Ovis aries: one gene and its partners. The protein of the gene in region 1 interacts with the protein of each later gene in a pairwise test. Links are inferred from orthologs where the notes say so. Each region holds a gene or a part of one and is shown on either strand. Other genes may lie near its edges.

What was found.
Region 2: the proteins of KRT15 (region 1) and TXLNB interact in binary tests that used the Homo sapiens proteins (3 or more experiments, as listed by UniProt). The two-hybrid records come from large-scale screens. The link is inferred for Ovis aries from reciprocal best matches to the Homo sapiens genes KRT15 and TXLNB.
Region 3: the proteins of KRT15 (region 1) and KIAA1217 interact in binary tests that used the Homo sapiens proteins (3 or more experiments, as listed by UniProt). The two-hybrid records come from large-scale screens. The link is inferred for Ovis aries from reciprocal best matches to the Homo sapiens genes KRT15 and KIAA1217.
Region 4: the proteins of KRT15 (region 1) and RAD51D interact in binary tests that used the Homo sapiens proteins (3 or more experiments, as listed by UniProt). The two-hybrid records come from large-scale screens. The link is inferred for Ovis aries from reciprocal best matches to the Homo sapiens genes KRT15 and RAD51D.

What each region holds. Positions count from the first base shown.
Region 1 is NC_056064.1:41,464,258-41,468,458, forward strand, and holds the start of KRT15 (keratin, type I cytoskeletal 15), read right to left. Parts: upstream 2,801-4,201; 5' UTR 2,716-2,800; coding exon 2,224-2,715; intron 1,433-2,223; coding exon 1,350-1,432; intron 1,267-1,349; coding exon 1,110-1,266; intron 634-1,109; coding exon 472-633; intron 387-471; coding exon 261-386; intron 63-260; coding exon 1-62.
Region 2 is NC_056061.1:64,247,329-64,251,609, forward strand, and holds the start of TXLNB (beta-taxilin), read right to left. Parts: upstream 2,801-4,281; 5' UTR 2,675-2,800; intron 58-2,674; 5' UTR 44-57; coding exon 1-43. UniProt on the Homo sapiens protein: Promotes motor nerve regeneration. May be involved in intracellular vesicle traffic.
Region 3 is NC_056066.1:24,438,339-24,442,598, reverse strand, and holds the start of KIAA1217 (sickle tail protein homolog), read right to left. Parts: upstream 2,801-4,260; 5' UTR 2,744-2,800; coding exon 2,674-2,743; intron 1-2,673. UniProt on the Homo sapiens protein: Required for normal development of intervertebral disks.
Region 4 is NC_056064.1:14,695,704-14,699,683, reverse strand, and holds the start of RAD51D (DNA repair protein RAD51 homolog 4), read right to left. Parts: upstream 2,801-3,980; 5' UTR 2,610-2,800; coding exon 2,528-2,609; intron 2,263-2,527; coding exon 2,201-2,262; intron 2,011-2,200; coding exon 1,892-2,010; intron 1-1,891. UniProt on the Homo sapiens protein: Involved in the homologous recombination repair (HRR) pathway of double-stranded DNA breaks arising during DNA replication or induced by DNA-damaging agents. Bind to single-stranded DNA (ssDNA) and has DNA-dependent ATPase activity.

The DNA.
Region 1 (4,201 bases):
TGCTGCAGCTGTGCGGCATAGCGGCACTCCGTCTCTGCCAGCGTGCTCTCCAGCCCGGCTTTCTAGTGGGCAGCAGACCAGAGACACTGCATCAGGCTAGCCAGCCATCGAGGGCTTGGGGAGACAGGCCAAATGGAATGCATGGAACCTCCCCCGGAGGGAGCTTGGGAACACCAATGCTTAAAGCAGCCATGAAGGATGGCAGAGGTGGGGAGGGGGAGGCTTGGCAGGAGGAAGAGGGGCATAGCAGGGAGCCAGACCATGCTGAGCTGGGACTGCAGCTCGATCTCCAGCCCCTGTATCGTGCGTCTCAGGTCTGTGATCTCCGACTTGCTGGTCTGGATCATCTCTGTGTTGGAGGCCACCTCCTTATTCAGCTCCTCCGTCTATAGGTCACACACAAGAGAAGTGAGCTCCATGGGCCTCCCAGGGGCTCAGGAAGCTGAGGAGAGGCCCACCAGTCAGACCCACCTTGCTAAAGAACCAGGCCTCGGCATCCCGGCGGTTCTTCTCCGCCATGGCCTCGTACTGCTCCCTCATTTCTGACAGCACGCGGGTCAGGTCCACGCCTGGTGCTGCATCCATCTCCACGTTGACCTGGCCAGCCAGCTGGTTGCTGAACTCCTTCATCTCCTTCAGGGGAGGGAGGGTAGGCATTCAGAGACAGAGGGCGGTAGCCAGAGCTAAGTCTGGGGTCCCACGTGCCAATCCTGGCTCCAGCACTAATCACTAATGCACCACATGACCTCAGTTCTGCCCCACACCCACCCTGGCCCATGCCACATGAAAAGGTTTGATCGCACAGGCCTCTCAGCTCTGAGGGTCTCTCCTCCTCTCTAGTCTCTGGTCCTGCCAAGGGAGGACCTCAGACAGTAGGGCCCTTCTATGAGCTCATGAAACAGATCAGGACAGAAGCACCCACCGGCCACCTGGCCTGGCGATGTATCAGAGAAGATAAGGAGTCTGGGTCACCAGTGATCCTTCCCTCCATGGGGACCTCTGTGTTGGCGGGTGCATATCAAAACCACTCAGCCCTTCAGCCAACTAAGAAGAGTCCCCAGTGGCCCCACTTTGCCTCCCACCAGCCCCACCCGCTGCCTGATCCTCACCTCCTCGTGGTTCTTCTTCAGGTAGGCCAGCTCCTCGTTCAGGCTCTCGATCTGCATCTCCAGGTCGGTCTTGGTCAGGGTCAGCTCGTCCAGCACCCTGCGCAGGCCGTTGATGTCAGCCTCCACGCTCTGGCGCAGGGCCATCTCATTCTCATACCTGGAAAGGAAGAGGAAACCCAAGTAAGGAGGGTTAAGGGGTCTGGACCACTTGAGCTGGGGGACAATGCGGAAGGAGCGTACTTGAGTCTGAAGTCGTCCGCAGCCAGCCTGGCATTGTCAATCTCCAGAATGACCCGAGAGTTGTCGATGGCAGCCGCCAGGATCTGCAGGATAAAGGGAGCTGGTGTCAAGAGGGCCCCTCCCTCTTCCCTGCTGCTCCCCCTGCCGTGCACCTCACATGGGACCCCTCACTGACCATCTTCCCTTGGATACCAGCAACAGTAGGCTGTAGGGTCCCCAGACAGAATCCAGCCATCCCATGCCACCCTCCTGGTCTCTGAGACAGGAAAGACCAAGGAGGGTGGCAGGGAATGCCCCGTGGGAACTGCCTGGCCAGGAGCAGGGTGACCTCTTGGGGTGCTCCACCAGCCTCCCGTGTGGACAACTCATGGTCGCTGGCCTCCTGCACACCTTAACACAGCCTTGCATCTATAGAACATTCCAGTCAGTGGGAACCTGGAGGGCAGCTGCGGAAACTGGTGCAAGTGAGTGAAGGGTGAGTGAAGAGCTGGCAGAGTCCATGCGCAGTCCCAGGTCTCCTAAGGCTTTTGCCACCCAAGACATTCAGAGGGTGAGGCAAGCGGTCCTGGCGTTCAGGACTCCTAGGACCAGAGTTTCATCTCTGCACCCTTATTCTTGCAAAAGAAGCAAAGGAACGCTCTAGACAGAGCCCCACAGGTGTGAGCACTGCTCTCATCTCGGCCCCTACTGGTCCAGACCAGATTCACAGGATCCCCAGCACTGCCAGGCTGAGCAAAGTGTGCCCCCATCCACATCTGGAATGCATTCCCCCACTTGCCAAGGTTACACATCATTGCCTGGGCAGAAAAGGATTTCCCCCGGGGCAGCTGGTACCAGCTACCTGCTCCCCTCTCCCTAAAACCAGAGGCCTTACCTTGTCGCGGAGTTCATCAGTGGTCTTGAAGTAGGGGCTGTAGTCACGCTCCGGGCTGGTCGGGCTCTGTCTCTGGTACCAGTCTCGGATCTTCACCTCCAGGTCGGCGTTGGCCTCCTCCAGGGCGCGCACCTTCTCCAGGTAGGAGGCCAAGCGGTCATTGAGATTCTGCATGGTGATCTTCTCGTTGCCGGAGAGGAGGCCGCCATCTCCACCACCGAAGTCACCAAAGCCACTGCCAAAACCCCCACCAAAGCCACCTCCGAAGCCACCCCCATAACCACTACCGGCCCCTCCACCAAAGCCACCCCCATAGCCCCCTGCTGACCCCGAGGAGACAAACCTGGCAGAAGACGCTGAGATAGTGCGGCTCCCACCACCCCCATAGAGACTCCCCCCACCAAAGCCTCCGCCCCCAGCCAGAAGGGAACCCCCTCGTGTAGAGCTACCCCCAAACGTGGAGGAAGAAGTCTGCAAAAGCGTGGTGGCCATGGGCAAGCAGCAGTGCTGAGCTCTCAGCAGCACGAGAGAAGCTGGCAGGAGGCGCGGGCTGGGCTGAAACCTGAGGGCTGCGCCTGCCACCCCCAGCCCCGGGGCTCCTTATATATCCCTCCCGAGGGGGTGTGGGATTGCGTCTCCTCCCCCAAAGGGGAGCCAACTCCTTCTGCGTTCCTGACAAACACAGCTGCCTACACACCTCAGCGTGGCTGGTGTGGGGTTTTTCTTTCCTTCCTTTTTTTTTTCTTTTAAATGCAACAAAGGAGATGATTCAGAATGGTGTTTTGCCCCAGGCCATGATTTTAACACTTGGATTACAGGTTCATCTCTACACTCCAAGAGAAAACACGGAAGGTAGGAACCTTGCATCACGTCTGCCAGGCCTCCGCCTGCCCTGTTAGTGGCTCAGGCCAACTCCTCCCTCACCTGGACTTCCCTGCTGCTTCCAGCCCGGGACCCTCACCCCCAGGCAGCTGGCTCCTGGCTCGCAGTTTGGGAGTTCACTTCGCAGGGCTGCTGCATGTGGTCCCTTTCACAGATCCTGTGTCTAAGCCTGCCAGGCTCTGGGGATTGGTGGGCAAGGTGCATGGAAGAAGGTAGGGGCCATGGGCATAAACTGAGGACGGGAGAGGGAGCCTGAGTCTGGTACCAGCTGAGGTGACCAGAGGGGGCCAGCATCTGTCACTTCCCTGACCCTACAAATGGACTCTTCTCCTCCACCCTTCACCTCCTCTCCTCCCCCATCTACAGACCCCTCCTACTTCTCCAGCTCCCCCCGGCCCCCTGTCCCACTGCCCTGGCATTCCCACAAAAGCCAGCCAGCTCAGGGCTGACAAGGGGCTGATTGATAATCCCACCACCTGCCAACTACATGTCACTGAACCTTTACTTGCTCCTGGGACGAGTTGGGGCAAACCTCTGTAGATAAGATGGGAGCAAGTTCCAGAAAGCCCCTGCCTTCACCAGCGAGAGGCATGTTGCTGCACAGCGGGCCCAGATTAACCATTTGTCCTGTGAAGCGCTGCGGGGCTGGGGAGGGGCTCAACCCAGAGGGCCGTACGTGCCTGAGCACTGCCAGGAGGGCGGGGATGGGGAAGCCTGGCACACGGACTGGAAGGCCCCTCTGAGATCTAGAAGGTCAAAGCACCACCTCAAAGAGCAAGCTGCGGAAGCCGGAAAGGGGAGTCCAGCGCTCAGGAGAGCCCTCTGGTCTGCCACCAGCTCGGGGGCCTTGTGTGCACAGAGACCTGTGGGCAGTGCCACTGGAAGCGTGGCCGGGCCCTCTGGCCTTGGCTCTGGGGTTTAGAGATAGCCAGGGGTGGGGAAGTGGGCCAGATCAAGCTGGAGGGCCAGATCAAGCTGGAGCACCAGGAGGAGATTTCCTGGCCCAGAGCTGCGGCATCGTGAAGCAGACAGCGCTCTGGAACCCCTCAAAGCCAGGTTCAAGCCCAGCTCTATCCGTCACTGCTTGGGAACCTTG
Region 2 (4,281 bases), on another chromosome or scaffold:
ATGGTGGTTCCCCCGACAGCTGCCCAGGCTGATTGCTCTCCATACTGGGAGTGGTATCTGTTGGTAAGCACAGCCAGGGTTGATGTAGTTAACCCAGTTACAGGCATATGGTAAGGCTATCCCCACACTGGTACCTACTGATTACAGTTTCTAACACAGAATGAATGTACTTCCACAAAGCATTGATATTGCAATTAGTTGGGTAGAAACTGTGAGAAGCATTTCCAAATTAAGTCATACTTTTAGCATATGTTTGATTTTGGTCTTTAATTTCCAATAGTATCTCCTGTTATTGACATTAACAGATTAATTCAAGGTATTATTTTTCATGGTCATATCTGTCATTTTGCTTAGAATAGCCAATTTGTGTTATCATTCTCATCTATAATTCTACATAGATTTACAGTAATTAGAAATACATTAATTTAATGTTTAATCTACATTTAATGTCTAAATTTAAATTGATACTTTTCTCCTAAAGTTAAAACATTGAGTATAAGAGCCACTGACCTTACTAAAATCACTCATAACAGTAACAGTCTAAACTCTATTTTAGTGCATATTAATTAGTATGAGCCCATTGTGTGTTAGTCACTCAGTCGTGTCTGACTCTTTGTAGTCCAATGGACTGTAGCCCACCAGGCTCCTCTGTCCATGGAATTCTCCAGGCAAAAATACTGGAGTGGGTTGCCATTTCCTTCTCCGGGGATCTTTTAGACCCAGGTATTGAACCCAGCCGCACTGGGGGCAGATTCTTTACCATCTGAGCTACCAGGGAAACCCATGAGCCCATTAATATAGATCAATTATTATACTGGATACAGGAAACACTTGCTTTTCTGGTATTTTCCTTTTCCCAGATGAGCGACATGTACTAATTAATCAGAAAAAAACACTTTTTTGAGGTTCAAACCAGCATCAATTTTGAAATAAGACTACATGAGGAAAGATGTGAACGTGTATGGAAACATGGTGATATAATGACAATTCCTTGAATTTCTATATCATTTTGTTCCAATGAGGGCTTCCCTGGTGGCTCAGTTGGTAAAGAATCTACCATCCCATGGACTGAGAAGCCTGGCAGGCTACAGTCCATGGGATTACAAAGAGTCAGATGCAACTGAGCAAACATTCTGTCTTTCTGTCTTTTGTTCCAATATAAAAACAGACTTTCTTTTAGGGGTAAAAAACACCCCAATATAGTATGACTTTCTCATCTCAGTCAAGAAGCTCTAGGATAACAATAATTTTTAAGAAGTAGAAATGTCTTAAAAGCAGGGAGGGAATGAACCAGGGGAATAATCCATGTATAATGTAATAATCCCAAGTAATCCCTTTGGAAATAGGGAGTGAGGGATGGGCTGAATCAGGCTTTCTAGGGTGGCTGGCTATCACCATTTCTAGAGCTGCAATATGTTTGGCTTCTGCCTTTAAGTTATGGTACATTTTACTTGTGAATAATAATTAATGGTGGTGCTGCTAATTGGCAGCATGAAATTATGACAGGGTCCTAATAATCCACAGGTTTTGCTGTTGTGTTGGCATGAAAGTGAAAAAAACACACTGCTCCATGCACTATACAGCTTCCTCCTCCCCTTCTCAGGACAGGTGAAGTCAAATGTTCGAATGCAACAAGAACAGAAAATTCAGTGTCCAGACATTACCACCCACCTGCGGCCCTCACCAAGTACTCACTAACTTTGAAGGAAGAACTGTTTTCTCTCATTTATTTTAATTTACCATCTTTCTTATCAAATGATGCAGTAAACAGCTTCATTGTCTTCGTCACTGGAATTCTTTATCCTGACCCCTGCTTGTTGGGTGCACTCATCTATATATAACTTATGCCTCCCCTGAACTTGGAGAAAGATCCATGGCACCTGCTGTCCAGCCAGTAGTTATTTTAAGCTCTTCTAAAAGAAGCCCTGGCCTTTAACACCTCATCTTTAGAACTAAAAGGAAGAGAATACCTTTTAAATCAAATTGAAAACAGTAAACATTGATTGGTTTAAACCTGTATGTGAGTTTTAAAGTGTTAGGGGGCCTTCTGAGGATGAAATAAACTCTAAAGTAAACCAGACTTCAAAGCAATGAGTTTAAAACCAGCTGTCCATAGGAGTTTTAGTGTGGTTAGTTTGAATACAAATGTTTTGCTTGTATTTGATTTATTCTTCATTCATCAGAGGCCATAATCATTGATTTTTTTATATTAAGTGCATGATCTCCTTTAAACTCATGCTCCACATTTACTTTAAAACACAATAACTGAGTCATTGTAAACCACAGGACAACTCAGTTCCTAAAAGTAGCCTCAATAAGTCCCCAAGAGGACAAAAACGAAAAAAAATAAAAAACTCTTGTTATTTGTAAATTGTCTCTTTCTTTATCAGTTAGTTTTACAGCAAGAACTTATTTCTAAGTTTTATCTTCTACAAACTTTATTGCCCATCTTTTGCCTCCTCTGAGAGAGAATTTTATTTTTCACTTGTCCTGGCAGTCCCATTAGATGACCACACTCACACACACATCCCTTCCTGAGCAACACATTTTACTTATAAATAAAACAATGGAAAGTTCTTCAGCAGTTCACTGGCAGTCTCAAAGTTGCAAGTTTCGAACACCACAAACCGCACCCTACATCTCACAGGGCTGGGGGAGTGTTTGTCATACTTACCAGAATGCAAGGTGCTAAGCAGAAAGAGAAAGGAGAGGCAAGAGGCAGCAAAAGCTAGTCAGAGCAGCAGCAGCAGCAGGAGACTGGCGGGCAGCTGCGCTCTTACAGGGGAGAGAGAAACCAAACGCACACGTACACACGCATGCAGCGGGAGAGCAGAGCAGGGGTGGCGGGGGGATGGGGGAGAAAGAACATCCTGTGACACAGCAAGAGAGAAATACACGAGGCTTCAGTAGCTGTCTCCTGGGCAAATGTCCTAGGAAAAAGAAGCGGCTGATAGATCTTAGCAGACTCCTAGTATTGTCCTTTAAAAAGTTTAAACTCTCTGTACACATGCCCCTTGCTAGTGCAGTTTTTCACTATGGTTGTTCTTTGGGGCAGAGATCAAGTTTTCTTATTTCTTGGTTTATTTCCAGTGTGGCCTGTGATTCATCTCCCTCCCCACCCCCCCATATGCTAGCTTAATTAGTGTCAAGTTTCTACTAGGAATCAAGGAAAAAGAGGAACAATGGCATATCAGAAAGAGGTAGGAGAAGCACTTTAATTCTGATGTCATTCCTTGGTTTCATTGTAAAATTTGAATATAAATTTAGATGGCTCTTTTGGCAGTGGGTTTAGTGCCATCTTCATGTACATGCTAATTGGTGTGACCTCCGACCTCGTGTCTTACTCAGGTAACTGCCTTTATTCAAATAAGCCCCAGGGAAGCAGTTGCTTTTTCTTCTTTAGTTGCAGATTTTCCAAGTCTTTCCTCCCTTCTCAAATCCTGAACCTGTTCCTTAATCCTCAGAAAAAGAACTTCCTCTTCATTGACCATATAACGGTTCTTTTTCTTAACCTACGTTCGTGCCCCTTTTCTCCTGTTTCTGGAGAATGTGTTCCCATACTTTTCCAAATCGGATTCCTCCATCAGAGCTTCTCCTCTTGAGACTGGCTGGCATACTGATACCCACTGTGTTAGGCAGGATCTTGCCGCCAGAAAGGCTTCCACACCCTAATCTCAGGAACATGTGAATATGCTGCTTTACGTGGTGAAGAAGACTTTGCAGATGTGATCCACTTAAGGATCTTGAGATAGTTTATCCACAATTACTGGATGGTTCCCATGTAATCACAAGGGTCCTTAAAAATGAAAGAGGGTCAGGTCAGAAAAGTAGACTTGGTGATCTAAGCAGAGGTCAGAGTGATGGAGGGACACAAGCCAAGGAATGTGAGGAGTCTTGAGAGGCTGGGAAAGACAAGGAAGCAGATTCTTTTCACAGTCCTGCAGAAGGGATGCAATTCTGCTGACACCTGGCTTCAGCCCAGTGAAACTCATTTTGGATTTCTGACCTTCAGAACTATAAAAGAAGAAATTTGTGTTGTTTATAAGCCACTAGGTTTGTGGTAACTTGTTTATGGCGGCAAAAGGAGACTAAAATATCCTACTCCCAAACTTTCTCACCCCTTTCTCTGAGTTCAGGGGAGGCATAGATTAGGTATAGATGGGTACCTAGTAAGTGGGGGTCAGGATAAAGAAATCCCAGAGAGGAAGACAATGATGCTGTTTACTGTATCATTTGATAATAAAATTGATGAATTAAAATGAGTGAGAGGAAAAAAGTACT
Region 3 (4,260 bases), on another chromosome or scaffold:
TAGCCTCCTTCTGCACACAGACTCAATCCTGGACCATTTCTAACAATCCTGGGTCCCCTCTTCTAAATTCCAGCTACAAACATCCAAATTGCAATCAACATCTCCACTTGGATGCCTGATAAGCTTCCAGATCCTACCATAGCCAAAAGATTTTCTGCTCTCCACTTCCAAGCCACAAACACCCTCTCCGCTACTCCTCTCCAATACTTTCCCCTTCAGGTAAATGACAACTTCCCAGAAGCACAGGCCAAAGTTTCTGAAGTCATCTCTGACTCCGCTGTCTCTCTTATATCCTGTATCCAATCCCTTGGCAAATTCAGTTTCATCCTCAATACATATCTAAAGTCTGTCTTCTTACGACCACCTGTTCTACTCCCCTACCTGCTGATCCAAGCTAGTGACTGGTTTACTTTGAAAGCTTCCTAACTGAGCTCTCTGCTCTGCCCCCAACCCCACTCGGGTGATTCTCAGTAGAGCACCCAGGACTACCTCTGAAGAAACCTCTCAGACCCACCAGCAGCTCCCACCTCCCTTGAAATAAAAGCCGACGTCCTTACTCTACTATCAGAGGCCCTACCCGACAGGGCCTAGAATTCTCTCTTAACCTCTTTTCTATCTATCCTTTCCCCATGTTGTTCTTTGAAGATGCCCTTTTTCTTCTCTCCCTCACTTCTTTCTGATGTCCCTTCAAGTATCACAGCAGTGCTGAGTCGCTCAGTTGTGTCCGACTCTTTGAGACCCCATGGACTGTGGCCCGCCAGGCTCCTCTGTCCATGGGGATTCTCCAGGCAAGAACCCCAGAGTGGGTTGCCACTACCTCCTCCAACATAGTAGTGAGGCCATCTCTAATAACCCTACTACAGTTTCACCCCTGACCACCCCCATACTCAATATTTTCTTTCTCTGCCTTATTTTCCCCCACAGTTTAATAAACTTACTAGATAAAATATAAGATGCCCAGTTAAATTTGAATTTCAGATAAACAACGAATAATTTTTAGCATAAGTGTATCCCAAATATTGCATGGGATACACTTATACTAAAAAAAAAGTTTATTTTTTACCTGAAATTCAAATTTAAATGAGCCTTTTATTTTTGTTTGACAAATACGGCAACCCCACCATATAACATGCTATTTTACATTTATTGTTTTTGTCCTCCACTCCCCTTCCCCCAAACTTGGCCCTTAGAATATAAAGCAAGGGCTTTTCATCTATTTTGTTCACTGCTGGATCCCCAGAAGCTAAAACAGTGACTCCCACAGAACAGAGGCTTGATATTTAGTGAATAAATGAAATAAAGTGATCACATTGCATCAGTCTCACCATCTCAGTCTCTGAAGTGTCTCTGAACTGCTGTGGTTGTTTGTAAATTGTTTTCTTAAATCAGTTCCACTCTCTTGTTGCGCCTGCAGATTCCGAGTATTTCGTAATGCAGCAGAAGCCCAGAGGTTGAATTCCTGCTGCAGGACCCTGTCTATCAAAGAGGGCAGGGGAGGGGGCCCCACTGCCCGGGGGCCCCCAAGGAGAGTGTGGTGCTTTGACAGCACAAACACAGCCAGCAAGCGGAGGACTCTGAGTCTGGGATTCTCCAGGGTTCACTGGTCTTAAAGTTTCCTGCTTTTCACCGGGGGGAATTTCTATCTCTTCTAATTGTATTTTCTTCTGTCTGGCTTAGTTTTGCATTTTCAGTGTGGATGAGTCATGTGTGACTTCCCTTTTGCCTTTTAAAAAACACACACCTTTTCCCCTGTGCATTGTTGTTACTCCCACGCACAGCACTGCAGCCCCGCAAGCAGGGCTATTAACTGGCCCCTGGATGAACCTGGGCTAAAGTGGGGGCAGGGAGGGTTCTGGACTGCGCCGGGTCCAAACCCGCCGCCTTCGCGATAGTGCATGCAAGGTAGGCTCCGGAGTCACAGACGTCAGACACTGGACGGCCCAGCCGAGGAGCCCTTTCCCCACCCAACCACACTGCATAATTTCTTTGGAACGACATAAGCTTCTGGAAGTTCCCTACGGAAAAGACAAGTCTATTATAAACACAATCAAAGAGAAACTGCTCAGAGAAAATCTATCAGAACTGTCTTAACAGCTCCCAACTTTTGAATTCAAGCATACAGAAAATTCGCACAGCTCCATCTCTCCTCTACATGGACAAGTGCTCCCCTGCTGTTCCGATCCGGAAAAAAAAAGAAAAAGGAAAAAAAAAAGAAAACTCTGCGATTTAACTCTCAAATACGACCAAACTTGCCTCCGACGTGCCTGTGCCTCGTGGAATCCCCCCAACCAATGAATGGAAGTGTTGCCGTCCCGAGAGACCTTTCCAGAAAGAGCTGCTCTCTCCCGCGGCTGGAGCAGGGAGTATGGAAAGCTGCTTTGGGGATGTATTTGCCACTGCCTGGAGATCTAGCAAGTATTGACGGCTTACAGGGCTACCAGTGTAACACCACCCCGCCACTTCTTTGGCAGCTTAAGAAAATCCTGCCAGAGATTTAAAAAAAAAAAAAAAAGTCCAGCCTACAGCTCTCCACTGAGTTGGGAAAACGCACCACCCCAAGAAATACGCCTTTTCTGTGCCAGGCGCTCGGTCTGCAGTTATAAAAAGCAGCAGCCAGCCGCGAGGCACACGCGGAACCGTAACTCCATCTTTGAATGAGAGCCTCTTACTTACCCGGCATCTGTCTGCTGTCTGCTGAGTAAGGAAGGCATGGCTCACATTTCTGGCTTTCGTTTTCTTCCATTGTCCCTGCCTCCGGCCCAGGCTCCTCTCTGGTCTTTAAACTTCAGGGCGCCGTTCTGAAAAAACGCTTCCAGAAAGCGCCTGGAAGGGGGCCCGGGGGGTGGGGAGGAGGGGACGGTGCGAAACCCCACCCCAAACTACTCTCCACTCCCGTGCAAAGTCTCTCTCGCCGGGGAAGACTGCATTCCAGCGCCCGGCCTCCCGCGTCCCTCCGCGCGCGCGCGTCCCCTGGTCCGTCCGTCTGTCCGCCCGCCGGGTCCCTGAGGAATGCGGGCTGGGCCCCCCGCCCGCCCCCGCGCCGCGCGCTTCCCCGAGGCCCCAACAGGTGATGCGCTGTCCTGCCCTGGACCCACGCGGGCCCCCCGAGGCAAACTGCGGCGACTCCGCAGCCGGGGAAGGAAAACATGGCCCAGGATCGCCGGCGGGAGCCTTTGCTGGAAGCCGGTTCTCCGTCTCTTTCATCTCACAGAATCAGCCTCCCCAATAGGCTGATATCCTGAAAAAAGGAACAGCCGACTGCGGAACGTCCCAAATTTCAGTGAAATCCCTTTTATAAAGGGCAACGAGGACAGGTTATATGCTGAAGGTTCTTACACACTTTCTTCACCAAGCGTTTAGAGCTTGATTAACAGACAGATACAGCTGACTTTGCACACAATCAATTTCAGTCTCTTCAGCTGGACTTTGCGAAGTTTGCACTCCTTTGCCTACACTTTCTCAACAGTTCCTCCTCCCCAACATACATAAACACACTCACATGTTGATCAAAATCTGAAAAGTAAACTAGTAAAATCCACCTTCTGAATCTCTCCAGTTCATTAAAATATCAGAAAGGCACTTCAAATACTTTTCTTTGGATGGGCAGAGTTGCATCCAGCATACTCATTTTCCCTTGAAACTACCTACAAACATTTATTTTGTTCTTTACAGGGTCCTTGAAACACTGGCCGATTTCCCAGAAAGTGAAAAGAGGAGGCACAGCGTCCACAAAAATTAAAAAAAAATTAAAAAAAAAAAAAACAAGGTACATAATCTGTGCAATGTACATGCTGCTATTTCAGATATAGGCAAATCACACACTGCCTAGAAAGAGGGTGATCTTTTAATCTGTAGGAGCCCCATCGTTTGGTGGGGGGAAGGAGGATGGTTAGCCTGCTGACGATAACTCAACCCAGTTTACATACCATTCAGACAAGGTTTTACATTAATTTAGATGAAGATTGTGTGCAGAACAATGACTGGCCTACCCTCCAGATTCTGACCTTGAGTCACCTGTGTACTTTGGCAGTGTGGGGGACATATTTTGGCCATTTCAGAGAAAAAAGATTTGGAAGCCTATGAAGGACAAGGTCATCATGCCAGGAAGTCACATCAGGTCATCGTGCAAGGTCATCACATCAGGAAGGGAAGAAGAGACCCCCTCAACTCCTAAAAGGATTTTTCTTGAAACCCGAGAAGATGTGGTGGATCTTCCAGAAAGTTAAAGCCAAGCCCAGTAGCACTGAAGGCAGGCAGTTG
Region 4 (3,980 bases), about 27 Mb from region 1:
CGCTCAGTCGTGTCCGCCTCTTTGTGACCCCCATGGACTGCAGCCCACCGGGCTCCTCTGTCCATGGGATTTTCCAGGCAAGAATACTGGAGTGGGTTGCCATCTTCTTCTCCAGGAGCTCTTCCTGACCCAGGGATTGAACCTGCATCTCCTGTGTCTCTTTACCCACTGAGCCATCAGGGAAGTAGATGGATAAATGAAGAGAAGATAAATGAAATAATGTACCTAGAGTAACAGTGCCTGCTTCCTGATGAGCACTCAGAGAAGGCCCATCCATTCCTCGCTGCACAGAGCGGTCCTGAACCTCTCTGATCTCCTCTGCAGTGACCTATGGTGGCTGCCATCCTGCCAGTTTACCACCTGACCACTCTCTCTGTATACGCTGGCTTTATAAACTCCCAAAGGCCAGGCCTGCTTCCTGCTAATCACCCCCTCCTTAGCTGCTGGCACACATGCTCACACCTCTCTCGTGTCCACCTGCTCTTCTCTACCCAGTGGACCCCAGGCTCCTTAAATGCAGGGGCCTCACCCATGCCCATCTCCGGTACCCATGCTTGACACTGGCTACTGCCTGATGAACGACAGGCCTGAACCCTCAACCCAGGGAAAGCAAGCACTGGGTTGTGTGAACCCTGCCAAGACAGCGTGTTTTGGAAACAGCGAGGGCCAAGCCGATCCAAAGACCTTTGTGGTGGCAGAGTTCTTTATCAAATTCCGCACAAACAGGCCAGGGAAGAGGTCAGCCTCCCTTGGCCAGAAGCCGCCTGTTTTCTTCCAACTCTTTCTCTCTCCAAACACTGCAGAAGGAAACTACTCTCACCCCTTTCTGCTGCAGCGTACAAGGAGTGAACCAAGTTCAGGAACAAGTACCCCAGGGCTGGAGCCCCACCACTGCCCCTAGTTCCTCTTGTGCTAAACTCAAGTGGGGTTAATAATCACCAACTCACAGGATCACGAAGAGATTATACAACCTATTGTATAACCTTGCTGTTGTTCAGTTGTCCAGTTGTGTCCAACTCTTTGCGACCCCATGGACTGCAGCATGCCAGGCCTTCCTGTCCTTCATCGTCTCCGGAAGTTTGCCCAAGTTCATGTTCATTCCATTGGTGATGTCATCCCAGCATCTCATCCTCTGATGCCCTCTTTTCCTTCTGCCCTCAACCTTTCCCAGAATCAGGGACTTTTCCAATGAGTCAAGTGTTTGCATCAGATGACCAAAATACAGGACTTTCAGCTTCAGCATCGGTCCCTCCAATGAGTATTCAGGGTTAATTTCCCTTAAGATTGACTGGTTTGATCTCCTTGCTGTCCAAGGGACTTTCAGGAGTCTTCTCCAAGCACCACAGTTTGAAGGCATCAGTTCTTCAGTGTTCCACTGTATAATCTACTACAAGTCAATGGCTGGTACTTAACCTAGTCCTGCCACACTCTCTTGCCCCATCCATCCTTAAGTGGACAGGGAGGTAGGGCCAGAGAAGAGTTGCTCTGATTTGCTGAATAATAATGAAATACTGACATCTTGTGTTTCAGTGGTTCTCAACCAGTGTAGATTTTGCCCCCAACCCACCCAGGGATCACAGCTGGAGATATTTTTGACTATCAGACAAGGGGAGAAGGGAGGTGCTACTGGCATCTAGCAGGCAGAGGCCAGGGAAGCTGCCAAATGACCTACTAAACACGCAGGACAGGTTCCCCCTACCCCAATAATTCTGCATCCCCCAAAGTTACGAGTTATGAGAAACGTTCTTACAGGGTAAGAGAACTTAGAAGTCCTGACCATCCTCAGCACTGTCTGAAAGGGCCTGCTGGCTCCAGACTCCAGCATCGAAAGCCCAGCAAGAGGAAGTCAGGTCGCCCTGCTTCTGACTGTCCCGCACGTACACACACAAACCTTCCAATGCCGGTGGACAGGATGGCCGTGGTGGTTTTCAGTTCCTCGTAGAGATCAGCGCCATTGAAAGGGAAAGCTGAGAACTGAGCCAGCAGCACTCGCCTCAAGGCGACCAGGGCCTGCGGAAGGGGCGGGGCAGCTCAGGATCCGGGCTGCAGCAGCCCCAAAGAGTTCTTAGGCAACGACCCGTCAAAGGAAGGGGCCGCCCAGGGTCTCAAACGCCGCCGTTATCAATCCTTAGGAACCCCTCTGCTCGGGGATGGGCATTTAGAGACACCCAGGTGTGGAGCGTGGAGATGATCAGCTCACCTTGTAAGACAGGCCACATTTCTGGGCGACCTCCTCCAGGTCTGCAGAAACCAGCTCCACCACTGAAAACGAAACACGTGGGGTTGATGGGCAGGGAGGGAGGCCCGGGGCGTCCGCACTCGACTTTCCCGCGCCCGCGCGTACTGGCGGAACCGTGGGACCCGGCGCGGTGGCGGGCACACGGTGGGGGGTTCTACCCTCCCAGGGGCGTGGCTCGCCCCCGCCCGCGTTTCCGGGCTCCCCGGGGGCGCAGGAGGGAGGAGAAGGGCCCCTCCGGGTGTGCCGGGGCCAGCCCTGTGGCTCGCAATGGCGCGCGCCCGCGGTCACCTGTCTTGATCCCGCCGCTTTTCAAGAGCTGGACCATGTCCTGGGTGAGGCCCGGGCACAGTCCCGCCCGGAGCACGCCCATGTTCCCTGGGGGCCTAGGGCCGCTCGTCCTAGGGGCATCCGTGGGGCCCTCTCCAGTCGTCCCCACCCCGCCCCCGGCGCCCCTTTCTGGACGGGCGAGGAATGCGGGAGGCAGCGACCGCGCGGAGAAGGCGGACCCTTCGGGAGCTCGGGCACCCAGGGCCAGCCCGCCCCGGCCACGCCGCCGCTTCCGGCTTCCAGGCGCCAGGACCCGGCCTGCGGCGCCACCTGCCGGCCGCGGCGCGGACGCGCGGGCCGGGCGGTCGGGGCGGAGACAGCTCGGGCTGCGCGAAGCCGGGCTCCCAGCGCAGAGGTCGACGCGCCCGGCTCGGAGGGTCGCGGCCCGCGTGCGCCTCCGCCTTCTCCTGGGCCACGCCCCCCGGTGCAGCTTTCGGTTCTGAACGCTGGGCCAGGACGTTCTATCGGATCGACCATCCCTACGCCCAGGGACCTACCTGTTAGCGAAAGAAGGCAGTAAAGAGCAAATCAAATAAATCAGATAATTACCGAGATTATGATGGCTGCTAAAACGCAGGAGAGCACAGAGAGGGTATCTGCTTCTCTAGTTTCCAAACAAAAGAATTTTTACGTATACAACGATAAAACCCCTGAGTGTATAGAAAACACACACACATACGAATTTTAAATGTCCTTGGCTGGACCTCATCCTCTGGAAGAAACAACTTTACAAGGTTGGCTCCGCACAGTCTAGTGAGGTGGTGGTGGTGGTGGTTTAGTCGCTAAGTCGGGTCTGACTCTTGCGACCCCATGAACTGGCGAGCCGGCCAGGCTCTTCTGTCCATGGGATTCTCCAGGCAAGAATACTGGAGTGGGTTGCCGTTTCCTTCTCCATCTAGTGAGGTAGGTGCTATGTTTATCCCTGTTTTACAGATGAGCAAAATGAGGCTCGGAGGTGAAGTCATTTGTCAAAGGCTTCACAGCCTAGGAAGCTGTGGGCAGAGCTGGACTGAAGAGCTCACGAATCCCCACCCAGGTGCAAAGCCATTGCTGTTTTAACAGCTGCCGGGTTCCTCACCCCACAAAGTTATGTGTATGTTTTCCTCCCCGTGACATGGTTTCCCTGAGAACAGAAACAACCTCTGGCCGATTTCTGTATGCCTCTGCACCACCCACTGTGGTCACTCAGTACCTGAAGACACTTGAAGTGGAGGTCAGACAATTTAGAATTCCAGCAGTAAAACCTGGGTGTGTGGGCGCTCTAAACCCCATGAGCCATCCCAGCTTTCCCGGTGCCCACACAGCTGGACACGGGGTTTGCTGCCTCCGATGTCTGGATATGAAGTCTCAGAATTCTATCGTCAAGGTGTCCCACTCCCAGGGACCCAGTCCGTCCAGTACTGCCTGCCTCCCT